2 linked regions of the Rhinolophus ferrumequinum genome follow. The protein of the gene in region 2 binds, or shares a complex with, the protein of the main gene of each other region. Links are inferred from orthologs where the notes say so. Each region holds a gene or a part of one and is shown on either strand. Other genes may lie near its edges.

What was found. Proteins that work in one complex are often made in the same cells at the same time.
Region 1: INTS4 (region 2) and INTS6 share a complex: the UniProt entries of both Homo sapiens proteins name them as parts of the integrator complex. The link is inferred for Rhinolophus ferrumequinum from reciprocal best matches to the Homo sapiens genes INTS4 and INTS6.

What each region holds. Positions count from the first base shown.
Region 1 is NC_046287.1:86,290,865-86,298,163, forward strand, and holds the start of INTS6 (integrator complex subunit 6), read left to right. Parts: upstream 1-4,223; 5' UTR 4,224-4,737; coding exon 4,738-4,848; intron 4,849-5,239; coding exon 5,240-5,317; intron 5,318-6,125; coding exon 6,126-6,275; intron 6,276-7,299. UniProt on the Homo sapiens protein: Component of the integrator complex, a multiprotein complex that terminates RNA polymerase II (Pol II) transcription in the promoter-proximal region of genes.
Region 2 is NC_046294.1:52,165,687-52,173,005, reverse strand, and holds the start of INTS4 (integrator complex subunit 4), read left to right. Parts: upstream 1-4,295; 5' UTR 4,296-4,528; coding exon 4,529-4,582; intron 4,583-7,319. UniProt on the Homo sapiens protein: Component of the integrator complex, a multiprotein complex that terminates RNA polymerase II (Pol II) transcription in the promoter-proximal region of genes.

The DNA of each region.
Region 1 (7,299 bases), on a different chromosome or scaffold from region 2:
TATAAATCCTGGTTGTGGTCTGAAACCTTTCATTGATATCTTCTAGTTGGATCAAGAAAGCACCAGCATCAAAACTCGAAGAATGGAAGCCGATGGTTTGGAAGAAAATACTGAAGATAATAGCTGAGTATTCTTTAAAACATGTTGAATCGCTACTGCTCCTGGTTGGTAGAATTTAATACAGTGTGGATAAATTCTAATTGATAAAGAAGCATTACGTCATAGTTTAATTAGTAGCATTTTTTTCCTTTCAGTGGTCCAAAAATAAAGGCATTTCTTAGAACCCAAGGTGTCTCAGCATAATGAAATATGGTTATGTTGCCTCACATTTTCAAAACAATCCTCTAAGACAGGTCTTATTACATGCCTGGGGTCTGCTGACTCATCATAAGTGTATTCTCATCACCTGTTTATCTGCCTCTGTCTTTCCATTAGATTATAAACTCTCTATGGCCTACCATAGTGCCTGTCATATAGGTGTGCAATTAATATTAATTTTAAAAATTATTGCAATTTTCATGCTCTTTTGCTAGAGAAACTGTTCTACTGTGATTCTCATTCTCAATTTGGATATGTCACTTTCAGAACTGATCTTGAATTATCTCAAACTTCAACTATTACTGTGAAATACTGCTCAATGGAAAGGTCTAATTCCTTTTAATAGTAGTCCCTAGCAGCATGTTTTCCTGAGGATTGATATTATATAATATTAGGATGACCAAAATACATTTTCTTGTATATATATTACCTGAATACATTCTGCTGCATAGTTTCACATCTAATTTTTTATGCTTATTACGTCATTTTTTTGATGCTCTCAACCTCTCAACATCATTGACTATTTGTGATCTCAAAGAGTAAAAAGCAGAGAGCTAAGGAAATGGTAAGTGAGCCAAAAGAACCATTGTTAGGTTACACATGAACACTAATCTGATTATTTTGTTCAGATGGCACATCCAGAAACCATAAGCCATGTCATTGGCACATAATTATTTTTAAACCGTGTTTACCCTGTTTAATTGGTTTAAAGTAATTTAAAAGGGCTCTGGTTGGCTTCTACAAATCAATCTAATTCATCAGTTTTTTCAATTCCGTTAGAATAGCTCTATTTACACAATTTAGGCTATTGTTAAGCCCGAGTCACCATTCTTTCAGAGGGTTTCATAAAATTTATTCATTCTCTTTTAAATGGGAGCCACAGCATTTGGGCAGCACTCCTTTAAAAGCAGCAGTAAAGAGCAAGTTTTCTCCCACTTATCTCTGTTGACCAATGCCCTCCCAGAAAAATCTTCCTTAATTCCCTAGACTGCAACAGCACAGGGCTTAGCACACACTACTCCAACTAGTTTTCTCTCTAGCATTGCAAGAGCTCACCACTTCTTCAGTTGAGTCTGATGAAATAGTTGGCTTGCATTTAGGAGCCATGTTTTAGAAAAATAAGTTGCATATAACCAGAATCTTTCTAGAATCACAGGGATTGAGTAAAAAAAGAGATTCATGTTTCTCATGTTTCCCAAGGCCTAAAGTCACCAAGAAAAACAGTGGGAATCTCTCGCACTGTTTAGTCTTTGTAATTAGCTGTCCTGATCTTTGTATCTAATCCTGGCTTTACCATACACCTCCACTTATGACCCTAGTATGACAATCTGCCAACTCCCAAGTTAGGGAAGAAAGAGCGATGGCTCCATGGAAAATGACTTCAAATAACTGCAATAAGGTAGTAACTGTAAAGCATGGTCACCCACTTCAGTAAGCTAGTTTGATTCCCTTCAAACACTGCTTTGTACCAGCACCCCATCTAAAAACTCTCATTTATACGGAAACAAAAATCCTTAGCCTGGAATAAAGGCTCTCTACTGTCTAGACATGACCTACCTTTCAGGATGTTATCCTATTCTTTGTGTAGCTGGTGCGGCAGTCTTGCTGTATGTACTTCACTGTTTCCCAGAAAGCCATTGACAATGCTGTGCTAACTTTCTTCACTACATTTTAAATGTCTAGGACTTTTTCATTGGCAGCTTCCTCTTCCTCTACCCATATATCCAAATCCTTTAAAGGAGTATTTCTCAAACCTGAGTAATGTAAAATAAATTCTTATGATTCTATAGAATACATTTTTAGACAGGCAGGAGTCCATAGACCACAGTTTGAAAAGGACTGACATAGAAAAACTGTAGACCAATTCCATGAAAATCAGTTGCCAATTATCACGTTAAAAAAAATATATATATATTATTATATATAAAATATATATATAAAATATATTATATATGTAAAAAATATATATATGTAAAAAAATATATATATATTTTTTAACTGGTAAAACAATTTGTATATTGTCGTTAAAATGAAAACAAAAATTTTAAAGCATCAAAGAATTCTGAGTCTTAGCTCCAGATCTAGGACCCCAGTTTGAGAAACACTGCTTTAAGGCACAGCTTAAACATACTGACCCTGGAAAATGCTCTTTCATCACCCCAGGGTAATACATTTTCTCTTTTCTGAGTTATTTAGTATCTAATCACTTCTGCCTTGTAGTAGCTAGTAATACTAATGTAGTATTTTTCTAGAAAAACTATAAGCTCTTTGAAGGCAGGGACCATATTTTAATCATTTAACTCCACCTGGGGTCCTCAGCAAATATTGCATGTAAGACCTGTATTTCATCTTATTTAGCAGTCCCAATCTCTTTAAAAATCTCTCTTCTATGGCACACACTCACAGGACAGCGTATTACTGAAATAGCCCTACAATAAACTAAAAGTTCAGAGGTTGTTTTAAATATTAGGAAGAGTCCAAGTTATGAAAGTGAAGATTTTTAAAAAGGGCCACAAAGCATGTCTCTTCAGTGTTAACAGGAACTACTTCTTAAAATGATCAGTAAAGAATTTCAGCGTGAAGAGTGAAACAAAAAAACACGCAATGCAAGGCCTAGTAAGAGAGGCCCTAAAAAAATCCTACAGTCTTATGAGAACTATTATGTCCCTAATTCAACTTGTATTTCAGGCAGTATTCAGTTTTTTAACTAGTGTAGAGGATTCATTACTTCAGGTATGACGACTGAGGCTTGTTTTAACCTAGAACGCCTTCCCTCATACTGTATTTGAAATGAGTGTGAGAGGCAGCAAATAGTGAAAGGAAAGCACAGACAGGGTTATGGGAACCCCATTCTCTGGGTCACCTGGGCAAGCTGAAGTCAGTTTTTTCATTTAAAAATAAAGAGTAATTCATTATGGTTTGCTACCGCCCCTTTTAGCTCTGAAATCGGTATTCTATGGCCCTTAAGTAAACAAGGTTTGAGAGAAGTATTTCGTTGGGTAGAACCGGTTATTTTCCCCTAAGAATAAAATGGGCAACAAACTGTTTGTCGATATTGAACTCTTTTCCCATCCCCTTTTGGGGCTGTTTGAAAAAAGTGGGTTGAATCCTTTCTTGGTAGGTCCTCGAACAAGAGGGGTCCTGGCCTGCTCCGAGTCCAGCCCTCACCCCGGCTGCTCCCCAAGGCTGAGCGGAGCTGCGGGTGAGGTTTGTCTTTCGTCCCCACTCCCCAGCGGGAGCGCTGTGACTCGCGGAGATTAGTCCCTCGTCATAAACAACCTCTCACTTCCCTTCCCCCGCTCTGGGTCCGCCTACGCTGAGGCCGGCCCTCTGAAGACCAAGGAACCTCTTCCGGAGACCGCTGGCCTGCCGCCTTCCCCTAATTGGGCGTTTGATCCTATATTTATCCCCTCCTCATGTGCCCACCAGGGAAGGGGCTCGCTACAGCGACCTCGGAAGGGGAGATGAAGCGAGCCTCCATTTCCCCTCCCTCGACCCCTATCACCTCCAACAGCCAAGGAGAGGCCGGCAGCACTGACGCGCAGACTCAGCCGCTGCTGTCCTGCGCGCGCCGACGCGGCTCCCACCCCCCCCCCGCGATCCTTCCGCGGTCCGTCCCCGCCCATTCCCGGAGCCCGCCTCCGCGTCTGCCGACCCGCCTGCTCGGCCCTCGCGATCGCTCTCGCGCGCACCCGACGCCCCGCCTTCGCGCGTGCTCAATAACAGTTCTCGGAGCCGGCCTACAAGCTTCTCCCTCCCCTGAGCTGTTTGAATATGCTAATAAGAGGCTAGAGATTAACGAATTGAATTGCGGGGCGGTGCGTCACGTGGCGCGAGGACGTGTCAGGAGGCGGAGCCGCTGCAGCCCCTGCCCGAGTTAAAACCGGAGTGTGAGAGAGAAAAGCGCTTCAGTAGCGAGAGGGGCTGAGAAAGTGGTGACACAGCCGGGGTGCGGAGGGAGTCCCTGAAACTTCTCCCAACAGCCCCAGGGCCAATCTCCCCTTAGCCCACTCCCCTCTTCGCCAGCTCCCAGGTCCCCACTCCCTGCACCGGGGGTGGGGTGGGGAGCCAGGCCCGTCTCCCGCTGGGACACACACAGGGGCCGGGAGCGGGGACGGGACCCCCGAGGCGGGGAGTACGGACCGACAGACAGACGGCCGGGCGCCCGCCCTAGCGGGCAGGCCGGCAGGAGGAGGCGGAGGAGGGGGTACGACGGGGAGGACTGGGTCTGGGAGTTTCCTCTCAACTATCGGGGGAGAAACTCCCCGCAGCCGGAGGAAAGACCCAGACGGTGTTTTCCTCCCGGGGGCCGCGCTCCCCCGCCCCGCGTAGCGGCGGTCGCCGCCGCCGCCACCGGCGCCTCCACCTCTACCATCTCTTTCTCTACCACCTCGGGCCCCGGTGTCCCCGGCCAGCACTATGCCCATCTTACTGTTCCTGATAGACACGTCTGCCTCTATGAACCAGCGCAGCCATCTGGGCACCACCTACCTGGACACGGCCAAAGGCGCGGTAGAGACCTTCATGAAGGTACCGACTGACCGAGCCCGGGCGGCGATCCCGGCCCGGCGGCCCGCGGGCGGCTGGGGTGGCAGGGAAGGCGGCCGGGGGCGGCGAGGCGGAGGTGTCGGGGACCTGACTGCGGGAGCTGCCGGGCTCGGGGACCCCCTCCCCCACCGCGCGGGCGGGCGGGCGCTGCGAGCGGGGCTCGGCCGGGGCCCGGGCTCCGGCCCCGGGAGGTGTGTTGGGGCCGATCTGTGTGTGGGGGGCGGCGTGAGGGGGTGGCCGCTGCGTGTGCGGTACTGGGGGTGGGGGGGCGGTGGGGCCGCTGGGCACCCCTTCTCCGCCTAGTAACCTCGCCTCTGTGCTTCCCTCTCGCTCGCCCTGTTTCTTCTCCCGTCCCCCACCCGCTCTCCCGCAGCTCCGTGCCCGGGATCCTGCCAGCAGAGGAGACAGGTATATGCTGGTCACTTTCGAAGAGCCGCCCTATGCTATCAAGGTAACAGCCCTCGCCCTCCCCCTTCCCTTCCCAGTTCCTTCCTCGCTCGCCCTCCCCGCCCCCCATTCACCCTTCATTATGCTCCCCTCCCCCACCCGCTGTGCTCCAGGAGCTGAAGTCTTTTCCCCTGCGGGCTCCCACCCCCTCCCCCGCTCCGGAGCGCCCTGGCGCGGCGCGGAGTCGCGGGGCCACCGCCATGCCCTCCCCAGCCCGGCCCGGTGGCGGCAGCGGCGGCGGCGCTGCGATCAACATGGCCGACATTTCCCCTCCGCGGCGTGAGCGGCAGCAATGAACTGTGGGGGATATTTATTCAAGTTAGCCCCAGTGACAGCCGGGCCGGGCCGCGCCGAGCCCGGGTTTGCATTAAAGGGGAATCGGCCCGAGGCTTGGCCGCTCTCGCCCTTGCTGGCGAGTGAGCCGGTTAGGAGGCTGCGGGGCTTGGTCTTCGGATTCTTCCCTAGAGGGCTGCGGGCCAGTGGGACAGCTGTAGGTTAACTTCAGAAGTCCTCATGTCTGCTTTCCACTAGCACTTTGCATCCCCAAATTTTGGGTATTAGGTTAGAAGTAAATTTCCCAGAGAAGTTCCAAAGTAGTTATCCTGTTAGCTACCAAAAGCAGTAGCGCAGACAGGTTTATTCTTGGCCACCTTTGGAAGAGAGTTTCCTCAGCAATGATACGATTTTAACACATCATTAACCAAACCATCCTGAAAAGTGAAGCAGCTACTTGATGAACCACAGATTGTAATGGCTGTCCATGTATGCAAAGCTTTAAAAAATAAAAAAAAGTCTTAAATTTTTCTTTTCAGGCCGGGTGGAAAGAAAACCATGCAACGTTTATGAATGAACTGAAAAACCTTCAGGCTGAAGGACTTACGACTCTTGGCCAATCCCTAAGGACAGCTTTTGATTTATTAAATTTAAATAGATTAGTAACTGGCATAGACAACTATGGGCAGGTAGGTTGAATATTAAGGTGGAAAAAACAGTTGATTTTTCTTTTTGTGGAAAAACACAGTCCAGTCCAAAACTACATAACATGAAATACAAGTATAAAACATTTCAGATTAAAATACACTGTACACATAATACAAAAGTGAAACTGACTAAACTGTATGTGGTTTTATAGCCTTTTTTTTCTTAAAATATATTTGCATTCAGAATTAGAATCTGAATTCTTTGCTATAAGATTGACATAAATTGGTTTTAATACTTTGCACTCAGGGCATAAAAGGGAAAACATCCTGCCTCACCACACAGTTTCTCTGATACTCTATCCACAGGCAGTTAGTCTGCAATGAATTATAGACACTAGTTGATTAGTGGTCTTCATTTATATAGTACTAAAAACGTTAGAGGAAATTATTCTATTTGTTGTATCAGGGTTTAATTTAACCATAGTGTACAACTACTCTGAAAGGTAAGATTTTCATTAAAGTGTCATAATTGGCTGAATACATGAAGATTTCTCAGCTTTTGAAGCATATATAATAAGCAACTATGCAGGAAGGATTCTGAATTCATTCCTGAATTAAATGGCAGGTCCAGAGGTTATTTATTTATTTTTAACTCCAAACTCTTGGAAAAGAGGCTGTTTGAAAATATGAAAGAACCTTTCCTTCCTTCCTTAATGCCCCCCTTCCATCCACACTTGCTTTTATCTATTTGAAGATGAGACAGGAGCTTTAAATCACATGACGGTTCGTTATGGAATAATGTAAGGTGGTCCACTGTAACTTTTTTTTTGAGATTGCTGGCCTGGAAAATAAAAGATACTGAAGAATGTGTAATGTTACACATAAAAGTATTAAACCCAAGGAATTCACTTTTTATGCTGTAGTGCAAAGCACTGTTACCACAATGATACATTTAGGTATACATTTTGTTCTTTTCCCAAATTCCATAAGCCACGGTTTTCATGAGTTGCACAAATTTCAGGGGCATTCTTCCTGCAACTTGTGGCTGCTTTATATAGAAAGATAC
Region 2 (7,319 bases):
TCTAGGGGGACACGGAGAACCAATACAAACACAAAGTTCATGCCACCTGCTATGCTGTGAATAATAAACTGTCTAAATAAATGTGGGCTTGTTGTCTCCTTACCAGCTGAATCTATGGAAGTGTGGCAAGTCGACTTGGCAATTTAGGGACTGTCTGACCACACGACAATCCCCTGACCCCCAACCTCAATGCCTTAAGACTACAACAATTAATTATGTCTCATAAGCCTACAGATTGGGCAGTTCTTCTGGTCTTGGGATCACTCATGAATCTGTAGTCAGATGGTGGATCAGCTAGGGTAGGGCTGGTCCAAGATGGGCTTAACTGGATCAACTTGGCTTTGTTCCATGTGGTCACTCACACTCCAGCAGACTAGGTGGGATTTATTCTCATGGCAATGGTAGGGTTCCAAAATCAAGCAAAAAGCCGGGGGAATTGGTATGTGGATGAACCTTGAGGCCCAGGCTCAAACCTAGCACACTGTCACTTTTGCTACATTCTACTGGCCATGCACAAGGCCAGCCCAATTCAAAGGTGGGGATATAGATTCCATCTCTTAATAGAAGCCGCTTCAAAGCTACATTTCAAGGGGTATGCATACCGAGAGGGGGAGAGCTGGGGCCATTTTTGTAGTCATTCTACTACACGCCGGATCCTTTCCATCAGGGAGGGAGTAGTGACGTAACCTCACAGGAATAGATACAGATTCAGATTTGACTTTCCTACTGCTATTGACTGAATGTTTGTGTCTGCCCCCACCCCTACCAATTCCTGTGTTGAAACCCTAACCATCAATGTGATGGTATTAGGAGGTGGGGCCTTTGGGAGGTGATAGGTCATGAGAAGAGCCCTCATGAATGGGATTGGTGTCCTTATAAAAGAGACTCCAGAGAGCTCCCTTGCCTCTTCTCCTATGTGAGGACATGTGAGAAGACAGCTATCTATGAACCAGGAAATGAGTTCTCACCAGACACCGAATCTACCTGCACCTTGATCTTGGACTTCCTCGCCTCTAGGACTGTGAGAAATAAGTTTCTGTTGTTTATAAGCCCCTCTGTGGTATTCTGTTAGAGTAGCCTAATATCTCTATACGTGTCCAACTGGTTCTGTTTTCCGGGAGAACCCTAACTCATATACCTAACTGCAATGTTTCTGTCAGCCCTACCATTCATGGATACCTAATTCATTTTCATAGTATATCACACATTGCTTCTGACTAAGGAGCTTATTTTATGGTGGAAGAATTTTAGCAAAGAAACTCATTGGTCTTTCCAGGTACCCCATCACTCAGATGTAGTTACTGTAATGAAAACAGTGTCATGACCTTTTTCAGACTCAGTTATGGTGCTAGCCGAGAGACAACACATTATGAGTTTGGGGTGCTGCCTTACAGGTTTGTGATATGCCTTCTACCAACCGCTAATACACAGTAGTTTCTCTCAGTTAGAATACATGGGCCTGGGAACTAGGGGGTGGAGGTAGGAGTGCTTCTTGACACTTTTACACCTAATAACTCATTTATGAATTCTTGGGTTCAGTGTTAGGAGTACTTAGTCCCCAAGGGAGGAACAGTTCCATTAAAGAACACAGTCATTGTTCTAGTATATTGGAACATGCAATGAGACTGCCCCTGCTCATTTGGGGCACTTCTTGCTGAGCCAACAGGCAGACAAGGGGATACACTTCCAGTCTGAAAGACTGACCCTAATTTCCAAGGGGAAATTGAGTTGTTGTTATACAATAGAGACAGAGAAGACTCTATTTGAAGCCCAAGGTATTCACTGGGGCACCTCATTGTATTCTCATATGCAATAATGAAGGTCCAAGGAAAATGTCATCGATTCAATAAAGACAGTTTTTCATTTCAAAATTAAAGAATGTGATTTCATTACGAGAAAAGAAATCTTAACAAAATAACACAAATGTGACAAAAAAAATTAAAGAATGTGGACTACTTTAATTTCTATACCAGTCTGGCCTCCGCTTCTCAATTTTACTTCTATCACTCCTCCCTGATAGAAGTAAAATTGAGAAGCGGAGGCCAGACTGGTATAGAAACTAAAGTGCATACTAAAGTGCACTAAAGTGTAATACTTTAGTTTCTATACCAGTCTGGCCTCCGCTGTATGCTCCCTGTATGCACTTTACTCTCATTATGAACTGAATTTCCTTTGGTTTCTCCGAGTGCGTCAAACTTCCTCCTAGGCCTCATATCTATTACTAATAATAACAATGATAAACTTTGTGTCATTAATGCTTAGCTGCACATTTAACATCTCTGAAACCAGGACATGTTTTAAGATTGCTGTTGGCCAGGTTTTCATGTGTAGATTGTGTCACAGCACTCCATGTTATCATTGCTTCAGCTGAGCTCTGTGTATGAGATACAGCTACTGTATCTCAAAAAGATGACCTTGCAACTTGCATTAAGAGTTTTTATGTGCACAGGAAGCATAGACATAGGATAGACAGCAGTATGACATAGGATAGAAATTTCCATCTAAATAGGTTTAAAAGAGCTCTTTTTTCAGGGGTGCAAAAAAAATGTACACATTTTAAGAGATGTTATTTATTACTTTTTGAAGTTGAATTGAATTACGGTAGTAGTATGTAGTATGATGTTCGCTTAAAAGATAGCGTTAATCAAATGAATGCTAGCATCATTCACTGTATTACAATTTTAATACAGTTTTTTCCTTTCTTAAAATGTGTATACATTTCTTTGGCACCCTCTGTATAACAAGCCTAAGCAATAAGAAACCATTATTTTTAATTTCAGAATTTTTTTCTTAATGTGTTGTACAAAATAATGGTTTGTTTTACAATTCCTGGCAGCTTAGATTTGATAGAACGTGGTAATAATAATATTAATAATAATAATGGCTGGTAACGTTTATTGAAGGCACTGTTCGCTAAGCGCTTTTCACTTCACTCAGTACATTTATATAATGTACTATAATGTACGTATATATAATGTAATATAATGTACCGTAATCTCTGTGGTCTGAGAAAATTTACGACAGGCATACCTCCTTTCACAATAAAGTGTTTCACTTTATTGTGTTCCGCAAATACTGCATTTTTACAAATTGAAGACCCTCCATCAGCAAAAAGATTGACTCGCCTAAAGGCTCCAATGATGGTTAGCATTATTTTACCAATAATGTATTTATTAACTAAGGTATGCACATTGTGTTTTTAAAGACATAATGCTACTGCACACTTAATAGACTACAGTATAGTATAAACATAACTTTTATATATGTACTGGGAAACCAAAACTTCATGTAACTCGCTTTATTGCAATATTCACTTTATTGCAGTGGTTTGGAACCACACCTGCAGTACCTCTGAGATATGCCTGTATTTTGAAGCCAGATTAAAAATCCTTCCCTTTGTAAAACTTCCCTGAGACATCCTGAAGAAGTTAGGTCTGTTTGAACCACATTCCTCTTATCCAGCACACTTTGGCTGCCCACTAATTATCAGCTTGGGTGTCTCTCCCCAGTTAGGCTACAGCACCTTGAGGGTAAAGACCATCTTTTAATGCATTTTTGGGTCTTCTGTACCTACTACAGCCTGCTGCTTTTTCTCAGCATCCCACATTAACTCTTTTCAAAGATGAAACAATGAACAGCTCAAGTTTAATCTAGGATGTAAAACTGAGCTTGGATTTATTAACACTACAACAGGAACCACACTTTACAGTCTGCAAACTATTTGTGCATTATCTCATTCCACTGTCACTAAATTTGTCAGGTTAGGTGTTATCTGCCCATTTGTAGTTGAGGCTACTTATTTATTAAGTGCCAGTTGTAGTATGAAGCTTCGTTGTTTGACCCTTGGCCTGGGGATTCTTTCCACTCTACCTCAGCTATCAGAGGAGGGGTTTATTCCCTAAAGGATGGGTAGATTTTGAACAACTGGAGTGAGGGAGCAGGAAAAAACACCCCAGGACAGAGTAGGGGTGGAGCACTGATTGGCCAAAAGGAAAGCTCAGGCAAGCTACGAGCAGCAAACACTATACACAGCAAAGGATGATGAGAACGTCAGCTCGGCCTCTTTCCGTTACCTCCCGAGTCAAGATAGTTACGCAGCTCCGGGTTTTACCTGTAGCACTGGCTCAACCCCGCCTCCGCCCTTTACCTGGTACTTTGTCCCACCCTCCGCTCCGTTCCGCGCCAGTCTCTCGAACCCTGAGACCACCACCAAGCCTCCGAAAGCTCCCATTGGCTCGCCCACTCGTTGAGTCCCGCCTCCTCCTCCCGAGGCCCCGCCCCCTCCGCTACGCTCTCTTTTCCGTTCCACCGGCTCCCGAGGCGTAGGCGGCCAAATCCTGCCGTACCGCGACGGGGCAGTCGAGCAGCCGGAAGTGGCCACTCTTTCTCGGAATCCCACTGCCTTGTGGGACCGTGGCCGGTTCCTCCGGCCTGAGCTAGTTTTCCGGGTTCCTTCAGCCCGCCCCCTTCCCTTCACTCCCCCGCCTTCCTCGTCAAGTACGGAAGCTGAGAAGGTCCGCTGGCAGCCATGGCGGCGCACCTTAAGAAGCGGGTGTACGAGGAATTCACTAAGGTGGTTCAGGTAAGCTCGGGAAGGAAAGGTCCTGGGACCGATCCGGGCAGCGGAAGATTAAATACACGTCAGGCGCTTTGCTGGAACAAACTTGGGTTGAGCGCCTATTACTTTGATAGGCTCTCTGGGACTACACTTTAGTGGGCGTGTTCATTTGTCCCTATTCTTGTTATTATGATTAATATGTGCAGTCTTGATACTTTTTTTTAATTATTAGAAGAAACAAATAGCGCTTTACCATTTACGGAAATAACCGTTATTTTATTCAGGTTACATTAATATCCTCGTTTTACGGATGTGGATTTAGCTTCTGGAGGGGTCGAGGACAGAGAGCCAATTAGTGGCAGAGCCCCTCCCAATTCCTGTTGCACACACACACACACACACACACACACACACACACTTTCCCAGGGACAAGTTGGTTGTACTCAAAGCTCTCGGGATGGAAGAGGAGTCTGTAGAAATTCTTAAGACCCAGTCAAAGCAGGCGTGGGTCACAAGCTTCATTGGGGTAGAACTCTTCCATTGGTGGTGGGCAATACCTTCTTCCATTGGAGTTAAGGACCGGTGTGCCGAGCCCTTGACAGAGCACTCAGTGCTTCTCCATGTGTCTCCTTGTAGATGTCGCTAAAGTAGAAGTTGATCCTAAGTCATTCCATGTGTCGTGCTCCTTAGACTTATGTGTATACAAATCACCTGGGGAATCACATTAAAATATAGCTTGTACGCAGTAAGTCTGGCAGTGGAGGTGAGGCAATCTGCATTTCTGACAAGCCCCCAATTGATACTAGTTGATCAGCAGCATCCTTAGAGCCACAGACCACCCTTAATTCTTCTACTTGTAGAGTAGCAGGACTTAGACCATCCAGAAGGAACTGATCCTTAAACCTTTCATTCATTCCTTCAACAAGAGTTTATTGAGTGAATGAGTGGTTACTATGTATCAGGTATGATGAATACATTGAGCTACAGTGTCCAATACACGTGAGGGTCCTTCTTTAGGAGCTCACAGTCTAGTAAGAGAGAGAACAGCATATCATATATGTGATTCGTACTACAGAGAGATAATTGCACTGACAAATCAAGTCATCCTTCTACTTTTGCAGCTCCGTTTCCTAAAAACTCCCCAGCCAAACTCCCAGCCCTTCTTGATTTGACAGTATACCCTCCAGCTGTATCCCTTCCTTTCTTTTTTGTTTTGTGGACGCATCTTTGTAGCACATTCCCATTGTCTGTAGGGAAGTTAGTTTGCCTTATTCTTGTTTTTGCTTATAATAACTTTGAGATTTAACTTTGACACTTTTTTGTTGCCCTTTTTAATGTGAAATTAGTTTTCTGAATTTTTAGAATGAGTCAAGATTTAGGATAGCGTTTTCTAACTTCACAGAGCTCCCTCTTCTGTGGCTTGCTTTCTGGGATTTCCTGGCTTTGTTTCCCTTGACATCCTCCCCTTTTTTTTTAAATTGTTATAAAATATACATAAATAAAATTTACTGTTTTAACCAGTTCTGGTGTTAAGTACATTAACATTGTTGTGCAGTGTAATTTTTTTTGGAAACATTTTGTTGTTCCCACTTCTCAAGACTACTCATCCCTCCTCCAACATGCCATGTGTTTGTACCTCTCCAAACTTGTGTATCTATTGTCTCTTTTGCATAGAATGGATATCATTCTTCCCTTTCTTTTTTTTCTCCACCCAGTGGACTTATATTTTTGCTTCAAAAATATCAGTTGGGCTCAAGACCCAACTGAAACCTGAGCAAGAGTTTAGTCTCTTCCCTACTTCTACGGCACTCTGTTGTACTCATCTGTTTCTACTTATCACTCAGTACTACTACTGTGATTACCAGTATACGTATTTTCCCACTAGTCTGGGCTCTTTGAGGGCAGAGATAATGCCTGAGGGTTCATCCCTGTCACCCCTGGATAGACCATAGGGTCTGGCTCACTAAAATGTCATTGATGGTTGGTTGATTGCAGATGTTGGTTTGTCTGTCCTTTTACATACTCTCTAGGGAAAAAATCTTTCCCAGCTTTTGATCTAATTGCAGCCTGGATAAGACTGAAGACTGAATGTGTGGAATAGGATGGAAATGGGTAAATGGTTATTGAACCCAAATTCCTCTGACTTCAGAACTCCAGGTCTTTTTATCATGTCATATCATGTTGCTGTCTAGCATAATCCTAATCTCTTCTCGGTAGAAGGGTAAATTTGTAAGGAGGTAATTGCTTAGAATATGAAAATGATGTCAAGTGTTAAGGAAAATTATTGATTACAACATTTATCTTATGTTATGATCCCCTCTATACCTACCCACTAGGGCCTGACTTAAACCCCAGAGTGACAGGTTCCCTTTTACATGAACTTTTTGGGACTCATTATATGTAACAAATGCACCTAGAATGTTTCTAGTTCTGTACCACCCTTTGGGGATAGAGAAATAATTACTCAAATAATTTTATGTGTTCTGTGGTTCAGATGAGAATCCCTGGTTGAGAAAGGTAGGTGTCGTCATCCCCATTTTACAGATGATAATACTGAGAATCATGACTAACTTAGAACAGAGCAGCATTCCAAGTCAATCATTCAGTAAACATTTATTAAGTGGCTACAGTTTGCTAGGCCTACGGCAGTGTATTTTTTTCCTACACTGACCATCTTTTTAATAAAGGCAGAATGATTTGGGGGAAGCTAGTCATCTGGAGTGAGGGAAAGATTTTTTTCCTCAGTGTAAGCTGCAGACAG